2 linked regions of the Mus musculus genome follow. The protein of the gene in region 1 purifies or fractionates together with the protein of each later gene. This does not show direct contact. Links are inferred from orthologs where the notes say so. Each region holds a gene or a part of one and is shown in the gene's direction. Other genes may lie near its edges.

Region 1 (4,884 bases):
ATCGCTGCTGGCTTGCAGTCTGGACTACATAGTGTGTGTCAGAGCAGCATGGGATGGAGTAAGATCCTGTTTCAAAGAAGTTAAAACGTGGCCAGGGAGATAGTTGAGTCTGTAATGTGCTTGGGGGTCTGAGTTCCCAGCATCTATGTAAAAGGTCACACATGGACGTTAGGACCTGGGGAACTTGGACGGGGGGTTTCTGGGGCTTGCTGGTTAAACCAGTCTAGGTTAATTGGTAAGCTGCAAGTTCAGGAAAAAAACTGTTTAAAAAAAAAAAAGGTAGAAAGTGATTGAGGGAGACCCCTAATGTCCAACCTCTAGCCTCCACACATGTGCTTATCTGCACACACACGCGCATGTGTCCTTAGACACATATACAGGCACATATGATCATGTATACACATGCCACATATAGATAAAACTCCACTGAGCATACAGTTGTTCAATTAAAGAAATATTTATTTACCTGTAACCAGTACTTAGGAATTCCTTCATTCCTTGGGCTAGTTTCCCTGGGAGCTTTAGACTTCAACGAACATAGCCAATGTTCAGGCTTAATTCTCTCAAATAATACACATCTCCTTTCCAGGTGAAAGTGTATTGTATCTGCTTTGCTAATGGTCCTCCCAGAGAACTACTAGTTTTGCAGTGATTTAAATCCAGGTTGAAATGTGTCCAGTTCCTCGAACCAAAGTTCACAGAAAACGATAAATTCTTCCAGCAATCACCCCTAGTTAAAGCAGTGTTCAATGCAGTCTCCAGGAATCTTCTTTGGGAGCCTTTATGCTAATATACTTTATTTTAAACGTTAGGAAGGTATAATGTATTGCTTGTTCTTTATGCAAATAAGTGATGTGAAGCCATATAAGATACAAATATCCCAGCTCTGAACCCAACTGTGTAATACAAAACTGTAACGTTTTAATTATAGTATAACTCATGAGAAATAATTGATAGGAATTCTTCTGCACATTGCTCATTTCTAACCCAACTAACTCATAAACCCCTCACGTTCAGTATTCAGTGCACAGCACTGTTACATTGACCCAGGTAAAATAAATCATTGACTAATAAATTAATCTCATCCAGTCCACACTGGTGTTTCTGCTGTTTTCTGTCTGAATGTTCTTATTATATGAATTTCTTAGACCCTCAATTCTTTTTTTGGGGGGGAGGGGGCTCGAGAGCACTTTATTCTAATGTTAAGTAGTATGCCAAGCAAGAATGTTAAATTAAGTTTCACAGTGTAGGTGCTAATACTGGATCTAGTCTTAGCTGTCTTTCCAGCCCTAACACACCTAGCTTTTTACGTGAGTACTGGGGGTCAAACTCAGGCCATAAGCTTGTGCCAGAAGAACTTTACCATCAGGTCACCTCCCTAGCCTCCAAAGTCAAATTAATTAATTAAGACTTTTAAAAGGGTCTTGATCAATAAGGCTACATTTATCAAATGAAAACACAGGATAAGTATGAGTATCATATAACTACTATTACATGGGCCACTCTCACTAGTCATTTGAAATTCACTTTTAACGGGAAATTTTACATCCATTCCCCCCCCCCAGCCCCCCCCCCCCCCAGCCAGTTGTAAACTCAGAAGAGTGACAGGCAATGGTAAGTCTGGCAGGGCCACTTCCGGCCAGTAGGCGGGGTTTCCGGAGCCCCAAAGCCTAGGTCAGGCACACTGGTTCACTCGGCCCCGCCCCGCCCCGCCCCGGGAGCTCCGCCCATCGCCGGAAGCCCCGGTGGGCGGAGGCAGGGTCGTGGTCGCCCTGGGGACCCCGGCGGCGGCGGCGGCCGCCCCGGATAGCGTCCCCTAGGGCGGAGCTGGCTTTCCCGGGAGGCCGCGCCGAGTATCGGGCCTGCGTGCCCCGCGGGCGGCCCAGCTCCAGGGCTGGGTCCCGGGCTGCGGGAGCCCGCTTCCCGCCTCCAGGGGTCAGCGGTGGCCGCTGGGTCCCGGCGCGGGCGGCCCAGCACCTCCGACCTTGCTCTTCCAGTCGCCGAGGTGGCCGGCCGACCCCTGGGCGGCCCGTGCAGACGGCCGCCATTCCCGTGTCGCTGCGCCCGCGGGGGCCGCCCGAGCCGGCCAGCATGCCGCTGGGCCTGAAGCCCACCTGCAGCATGTGCAAGACTACGTCGTCCTCCATGTGGAAGAAGAGTCCACAGGGCGAGATCCTCTGCCATCACTGCACGGGCCGGGGCGGCGGCGGCGCGGGAGTGGCGGGCGGGACCGGGGGCGGTGGCGGCGGCGGCGGTGGCTTCGGCACCACCACCTTCGCCACCACCTCGGCCGGTCCTTCGCAGAGCAACGGGGGCGGCGGCGGCAAGCAGGTGAGCCCTCGGCCTCTCCCTCCTCGGGAGAAGGGCTTCCTGCCGTAGACCGGGCGGTGCGGGACGCACCGGGGCAGCCGGACGAGGCCATTTGCTTGTAGGTCGAGGACCTCTTGCCCATCAAGTCCTTGTCACGTTAATAAATTAGTAGGTCGCTAAAAATGTCAGCATTAGAATTCTGTTCTGAGATATGCAGGAAACTTGGGGGGGGGCGTAAAATAGATCAGTTCAGCAAACGAATAATAAATAGTTCCTGCCTTGTCCTCCCCCCACTTCTGTCCTCTTCCCGCTTGAAAGCAGCGCCATCTCTTGGGAGGCCCTACAGAGTTTAACATCTCAGCCCTCGGTCTTTTAAGTTTTTTGTTTTTAATTTCTTTTAACAAAGTGTATTATCCTCTGATCTTTGTGAGGTTATTGTATTGGCTTTTCTTCTGCAGTTTTAATTTCCTTTTCTCTAAATTGTGTAACAGAGTAAGCAAGAAATTCACAGAAGGTCGGCCCGGCTCAGAAATACCAAATACAAATCGGCTCCAGCTGCTGAAAAGAAAGTTTCCACGAAAGGAAAAGGGAGAAGACATATTTTTAAGTTAAAAAATGTAAGATGGTTGTGGACATTGTGCTTCCTAATGGGACACTGTGGGTGTGGTGGGCCTTCCCACGGCTGGTGTACCTCTCAGGTGCACTTAGGCCGTATTCTGGAGGGAAGGCAAGGTTTCCCAAAAGACAGCTCTCCTGGAAGAAATTGGCAGTTTTTGACATTAGAAAAGCAGTTTCTCAGTTTTTTTTTCTTCAGCTTTTATTTTTCTCATCTGAAAGATATAAAATATGAATCTAGAGGAATGTTCTATAATTTAGCACAGTGTATCTGTATGCAAAGAGAAATTATGGTTTTTTTTTTATAAATTGGTTAAATTTGTTCATTGACAATTTAATGAAGTTATGACTCTTGATACATAGTTAATTAAGAAAAATTTGTTGCTGGGCAGTGATGGTGTTAACCTTTAATTCCTGTACTCAGAAGGCAGGTACAGGCAGATCTCTTGAGTTTGAAGCCAGCCTGATCTACAAAATGAGTTTTAGAACAGCCATGGCTACACAGAGAAACCCTGTCTTGAAAAACAGAAGGAAAGGAAAAAAAAAAAAAAAAAGAACAAAACTTTTTTATGTCTTTTAAAGAACGAGGCAAATAACATAATTCATCAGTACCTTGTTTGTTATGATAGACCCAGAAAAAAATATCTATTGGTTCATGATGAGTTTGGTGATTATGAATGCAAAACTTTTTCTAAAGCTGATGTATGAAGATTGTTTAATGCCTGCTGTGGTAAGGGTTTTTTGTTTTGTTTTGTTTTATTTGTACATTTGGGACAGTGAAGGATATTGTAGATGTTTTTGTTTATCTCAGCTTGGTTGTTACTTTTGGAACAAAAATACCTCACTTGCCAGTAAACACCTTTCTAAAGTAGGCATACTCATTTGTAAAACGGGCCCAGGAGAAGTGTCATAAAGATAGTAGACTCTTGTTTAAAGATTTATTTGTATTTCTTGTGTCTGAGTGTTTTGCTGCATGTGTGCACCAGGTACCCTCAGAGGCTAGCAGAGGCACTGGCTCCCTAGGTATTGGAGTTACAGACAATTAGAAGCTGCCAGTGAATGCTGCGGGCTGAACCTGGGTCCTCCGAAAGAGCAAGTGCTCTCAAATGCAGAGCCTTCTCCCAGGCCTAATTGTTCCCTCTTAATTTCTTTTTACATGTGTTTTTAATTGTGTACATAAGAGTGCTGGTGCATATGCCGGGTACATTATGTGGAGGTCAGATCAGAGGACAGATTTCAGGAGCCTTGGTTCCCAGTGTCAACTCAGGCTGTTAGGCTTGCGTGGCGAGTTCAGACTGTGTTCTATTCAGTTACTTCATTATCAATTTCTCTGCATATCCATTCTTGGGAGAATGGCACAAAGTCAGGAAAGGCCATTTTTACGTTGTGATAAGCTTTGTGTTGCAGCTCTAAAAAGGGATTTTAATGGTGGTACAATGTGGCAAATTACTAAGAACCCTAAAGAGTTCAGGCTTGCAACAAAATTATATTTATCTGTATATTTTTTATAATTTCCATCTGGCCATGCTCAGTCTTTTAGAGCCACTGTATTTCTATACTTGGACTATTAATGTCTACTGGAGTGCTAGAGAGCTTTGTGTTGTGTTAGCTCCTAGCAGCATAATCAGAAACTTCACCTTTTGTTTTTCTGCGCTTTTAAGTTACTGGTAGCAAAAATTGTGGAAATATTCACCTGCTTCACATTCTGTGTGTGTGTGTGTTGTGTAGTTTCTGTCACCAAATAGTATTTTGTTCTTTTCAAATTAGATAGTTCTCATGTAGATGGTAAAATGGCCATACATACTATATAGGTACTCAAATGTTTTTGCGTCTGTTTTTTTGTAGCCTATCAAAGCGCCTGAATCTGTTTCTACCATAGTCACTGCAGAGTCAATCTTCTACAAGGTAAGCCTCTGGAGTCACTTCGAAAGGGCAGCTGGGCCTTGAACTCAGAGATCT
Region 2 (4,898 bases), on another chromosome or scaffold:
AGTCTAGGATGTCCATTAAAGACATAAGAAATTTCTTTATTTCTGAGACAGGGCCTTACTCTGTAGCTCTAGCTGTCCTGGAACTCACTATGCAGACCAGGCTGGCCTCGAACTTAGAAATCCGCCTGCCTCTGCCTCCCAAGTGCTGGGATTAAAGGCGTGCGCCACCACTACCCGGCTAAATTTTTTTTTTAAATATTTATTTATTTATTATATGTAAATACACTGTAGCTGTCCTCAGACACTCCAGAAGAGGGAGTCAGATCTTGTTGTGAGCCACCATGTGGTTGCTGGGATTTGAACTCCTGACCTTCGGAAGAGCAGTCGGGTGCTCTTACCCACTGAGTCATCTCACCAGCCCCCGGCTAAATTTTTATCTTTCAAAAAAATTTAACGTGATGCAAAAGTTGCAGTACGTAATAAGATCCAATCTTGGGCTGTGGACACACACGTACGCACGCACGCACGCACAGAAAAAGGTATGTCTTGATTACTCTAACCTGGTCACACTATTCCCTACTGGGAGAAACTCGAGGACAACCCAGAAATCACTTAAAAATACAACTAATGCACAAGTATAATTTACAATGATAAATGTTGGACCAGCGCCACACCATTTAACTCTATCCCCAAAGGTAAGTGTGATTCAGGCACACATGGACTTTTAGAATGGATGGGGGCAGGGGATACGGCCTCGGGTTTCTTCATTCTCTAGTAAGGTGATCTTTTTCTTCACTTTCCCCCTAAATTGGGTCCAAAGAGGGGCACACTGTGATCACGCCAGAGCACCTTTAGGGCAAAGAAGTGGGCGAAGCAGGAAGCCGCAGGTTGTCCGAATGCAAGAGATGTGGGCCACCTACTCACATTCATATTTTCGATTGACTGGAGGATACTTGTCCTTGGTCGCCTTCTGTTCCTCCGTCAAATTGTAATCTCTAACATCTTCCTCCTCTTGAGCCATGATTGCGGAGTTGGTACTCTTACTTCCGCCCTTCATCAGCCAGACTTCGGCCCCGCGCCATAACTTCCGCTCTACACCCCACCCCCTTGGCAGCGGGTCTAAAAGGACCAGGACTCCATTCTGCAAGCTCGCGGAAGGATATACCCGCTTGCGGCTGCCGGGCTGCCGGGCTGCCAGGCTCGGTCCTGCCGCTTTTATAACATGTTTTAGAGACCAGCATCTTATTTCCTGCACTCATCACTATTAGTACCGAGGGAGTCAGTTAAAAGACGCCACCTTGAATTAGGCACCTGTAAGTCTAAACGGTGATGCGTTTTCTCCTCGTCTGGCCCTCCGAGTTGCTAACCAGACCCGGAAACACTTCCAAATTCTTTCGCTACCCTGAGGGAGTTGTCAGCATAACGGCCTGCTAAGAAGATGGCTGCGCATGAGCGTGTAGGGTGTATGTCACGTGATCTGCACGGGCCTCATCCCGGCAGGCGGGGCGCGCGCGCAATCCGTGGAAGTCTCCGGACTGTGGTGGGGGGTGGGGGAGAGAGAAGGGGCGGAGCGCGCGCGCCTCGGGACTCTGGAGAAAACGACTCTCGAGCGTCTCCATAGGCCGCGAGGCGGATGCTCCGCCCACCCCTCAGACCCGCGCTTTCTCATTGGTCGGTGTTGGCGCGAAGGCACGCGAGCCGGCCCCCTACGCACGGGCCGCAGGAAACAATAGAGGCCGCGCGCGCGGAGTGGAGCGCTCGTAGCCTCCCCGCCCCTCCTGCAACGCACGACCCCGGGATCCCCCAACCCCTCCCGGCTCTCCTGCCGCCATGGCTGACAAGGAAGGTGAGTGTGCCGAGGCCGGCTCGGAAGGGACGGTGCTGGCTTGTAGGGCTGTGTCGTGGCCTGTTACGCGGCCTGAGACGGAGAGCAGGCCCGACTCTGGCGAGCCTCGTCCCAGCGACGCCGGCCTGAGGACTGAGCTCCCCGGCGGGGCGGGCTAACGGCGCAGCAGCTCCTCCGGAGCGGATGCGAGGCGACGCCAGGTCTCCGGCCTAGGCGACTACGAGGCTCCCTGCCGGTCCCTCTGCCTGCCGAGACTCGGGGCGCCGCTCTCCATCCCCAGGCTCGATGCGCAGGTCTCCTCCCCGGGTTTGGCGGACTTGGCGCGCGCCACCGTGCTTCGTTCGGGGTTGGACACCATCGGCCCCCGAAGGAGTAACGGAGTGTCCGGCTGGGGTGGCCCCAGGACTTCCGGCCCGCCGCGGCCGAGAGTGGCGTTGGTGCCCGCGACCTGGGAGATTAAGATGAATCTCCATTTCGTTGTCAAAATCCGGGCGCTACGCCGGTGGCTTGGAGAGGTTTGTGCCCTTTCCGTTTACGTTCGCTAACTTGATTTGTCTTTTAAAAACATTTTAGCGGCCTTTGACGACGCAGTGGAAGAACGGGTGATCAACGAGGAGTACAAAATATGGAAGAAGAACACCCCTTTTCTTTATGATTTGGTGATGACCCATGCCCTGGAGTGGCCCAGCTTAACTGCCCAGTGGCTTCCAGATGTGACCAGGTGACGCGAATCTTGAATATTTTTGATAGTTCATATATTTTAATTTTTTTGCCCTCCAGTCACTCAGGGGGGACATTATCAGAGCTTATGAGTACTATTTATTTTCCTCGACTAGAAATAATGTCAAAAACAGAAGATCATTTTGTAATTTACCCTGCAAAGAAAACATGCTCTGTTGTTGTGTTGTTGTTTGATTTTTTTTTTTCTTTTTCTTTTACTTTTTTTTTTTAAGTCATCTCTATTTGTATGAATACACTGAAGCCAGAAGAGGGCATTGGGTCCCATTACAGATTGTTGTGAGCCACCATGTGGTTGCTGGGATTTGAACTCAGGACCTTGGGAAGAGCAGTCAATGCTCTTAGCCGCTGAGCCAGCTCTCCAGCCCTGTTTTTGTTTTTTCCCTCAGCATGGAGTTGAATAGCCATTCTTAAGACTGGAGTTGGCCATGTAATATAAAACTTGACCGTTTTCAAAAGTTATTCTGGGTCCAGTTTATTCAACAAAACATTTGATTTCTCAAGTCATTTATAAGGTTAATAAATAGCAAGATAAATCTGGGGTCTGCCTAACTGAAGTGGGGGCGAGTGTTTTCAGCAGTAGTGTGAGGTTTTAGAGCTTGGTGGGAGGTGGGGCAGAAGGGTTGTAATGTTTAGTGATTGAGACCTACTGATGGGGACTTTGATCCTCAGCACAGAAAGGGGGGGGGGCTGGGACCCTACAGCGAATTGCATACACAAAATGAAGGGGAAAGTCTGTCAGCATGAACTACCAGACTGGCCTGCTGAAACAAGTGGCAATCCAAAGATGGTGGATGTGGGTAATTACTAATGTAAATTTGGCAAAAATGTACTGAATTCTTTGGAAACTCAAGAGTTAAGATACGTGCAGAATTCAATTATGAGGCTGATGGGGTTCAGCAGGTAATAGAAATTTGGAGTAAAGAGTTGTTTTGGTTTGAGGGCTAGGAATTGAACCTTGTGCATGGTAAGGAAGGCAGTACCATCTGCAATACATCTCTACTGTCATGGAAAGTTCATGTGCATTTTACTAGTAACTTAAGAATGAGGCTGCTGGGCTGGAGAGGTGGCTCAGCGGTTAAGAGCACTGGCTGATCTTCCAAAGGTCCTGAGTTCAAATCCCAGCAACCACATGGTGGCTCACAACCATCTGTAATGAGATCTGACACCCTCTCTGGTCTGTCTGAAGACAGCTACAGTGTACTTAAGATTTAATAACAAATAACTCTTAAAAAAAAAAAAGAATGAGGCTGCTACCTTTGCAGCAGTGTAGAGAGAGATGGAGACCTTTATCTGAAGGGTGTTGAGCAAATCCATGCAGGCACCCAGAAGTTTGGAGTTGGACTTTTTTTTTTCATACATAGGAGTCTTTGTTTTTCCTGCATGTTTGTCTGTAGCGTGTGAGTACAATGCCTGCAGAGGTCAGAAGAGGGCTGGAACACTCTGAAACTGGAGTTACACTGTTGGGAGCTGCCATAGAAGTGTTGGGAAACAATTTCTGAAAGAACAGTCAGTGTTCTTGCTGCTGAACTATCTCTCTTGCCTGTGGAATTGGGAATTTATTAGATTAAAAAACTAGTTGGGAGTTCAAGCTTAGTAGAGTTATCTCTATCTGTTCTCAGTGGTTGTTAAACAATTTGTGTTGAGAGGGTCTGTGGTGCTACATACCTGTAATCCCAGCACTTAAGAGGCAGAGCAGGAAGATCAGGAGGTGAAGGCTAGCCTATGACAGACCATAAGAAAAAAACTTGTATGGTGGTACAGGTCTGTATTCTAGCACTAGGCATAATGGCCAGCCTGGGTTACATAATACAACTCTGTCCTCTCCAAAATGTGTGTGTTGGAACAGCGAGTCTCAAATTTTAGCTATTACATGATAGTTCATTATAGGGTCCCCCTCCTTCTCCCACACTTTTTTAAAAACTGTGTTGGGGGGCAGGGAGACAGGCTATTTTTGGGGGGTTTTTTGTTTCTGTTTTTTCTTGGAGACAAGGTTTCTCTTTATAGTCCTGGCTGTCCTGGAAGTCACTCTGTAGACCAGGGGGACCCAAATTGAAGTTCCTGTTTCTTGGGCACTTAAAAGTACAATCTCTATCTAGAATGTTGTACTGGCTTCTCTTCCTTGATATGCTTAAAGTAGTTGGCTTTTGGCATTTCCTTGGTAGCTTATTTAATCCCTTTGGCAACAATTGTAAGCTTTCATTAATCCTGCTGGTATAGCATCTTTCCCATCTAGACGAAGGGTTTCAAGTTGTAATGTACAACATAGTGAGCTGCAGGTGCTGTAACGGTGTATCTCCTGCCCTCCGGGCTTCTGATGATAGAACTGAGAACTCGCACTCCTTCCACTTATCCAGTGGTCCTGGTACTGTTG

Evidence for each region. Proteins that work in one complex are often made in the same cells at the same time.
Region 2: the proteins of Gatad1 (region 1) and Rbbp4 purify together in Homo sapiens (affinity purification with mass spectrometry; 4 studies listed by BioGRID and IntAct, with this or other methods). This does not show direct contact. The link is inferred for Mus musculus from reciprocal best matches to the Homo sapiens genes GATAD1 and RBBP4.

What each region holds. Positions count from the first base shown.
Region 1 is NC_000071.6:3,644,827-3,649,710, reverse strand, and holds the start of Gatad1 (GATA zinc finger domain-containing protein 1), read left to right. Parts: upstream 1-1,774; 5' UTR 1,775-2,091; coding exon 2,092-2,331; intron 2,332-2,801; coding exon 2,802-2,927; intron 2,928-4,770; coding exon 4,771-4,830; intron 4,831-4,884. UniProt on the Homo sapiens protein: Component of some chromatin complex recruited to chromatin sites methylated 'Lys-4' of histone H3 (H3K4me), with a preference for trimethylated form (H3K4me3).
Region 2 is NC_000070.6:129,332,106-129,337,003, reverse strand, and holds the start of Rbbp4 (histone-binding protein RBBP4), read left to right. Parts: upstream 1-1,633; 5' UTR 1,634-1,770; coding exon 1,771-1,786; intron 1,787-2,359; coding exon 2,360-2,507; intron 2,508-4,898. Other genes in the region: Zbtb8os (protein archease), read right to left, coding at 865-961. UniProt on the Homo sapiens protein: Core histone-binding subunit that may target chromatin assembly factors, chromatin remodeling factors and histone deacetylases to their histone substrates in a manner that is regulated by nucleosomal DNA.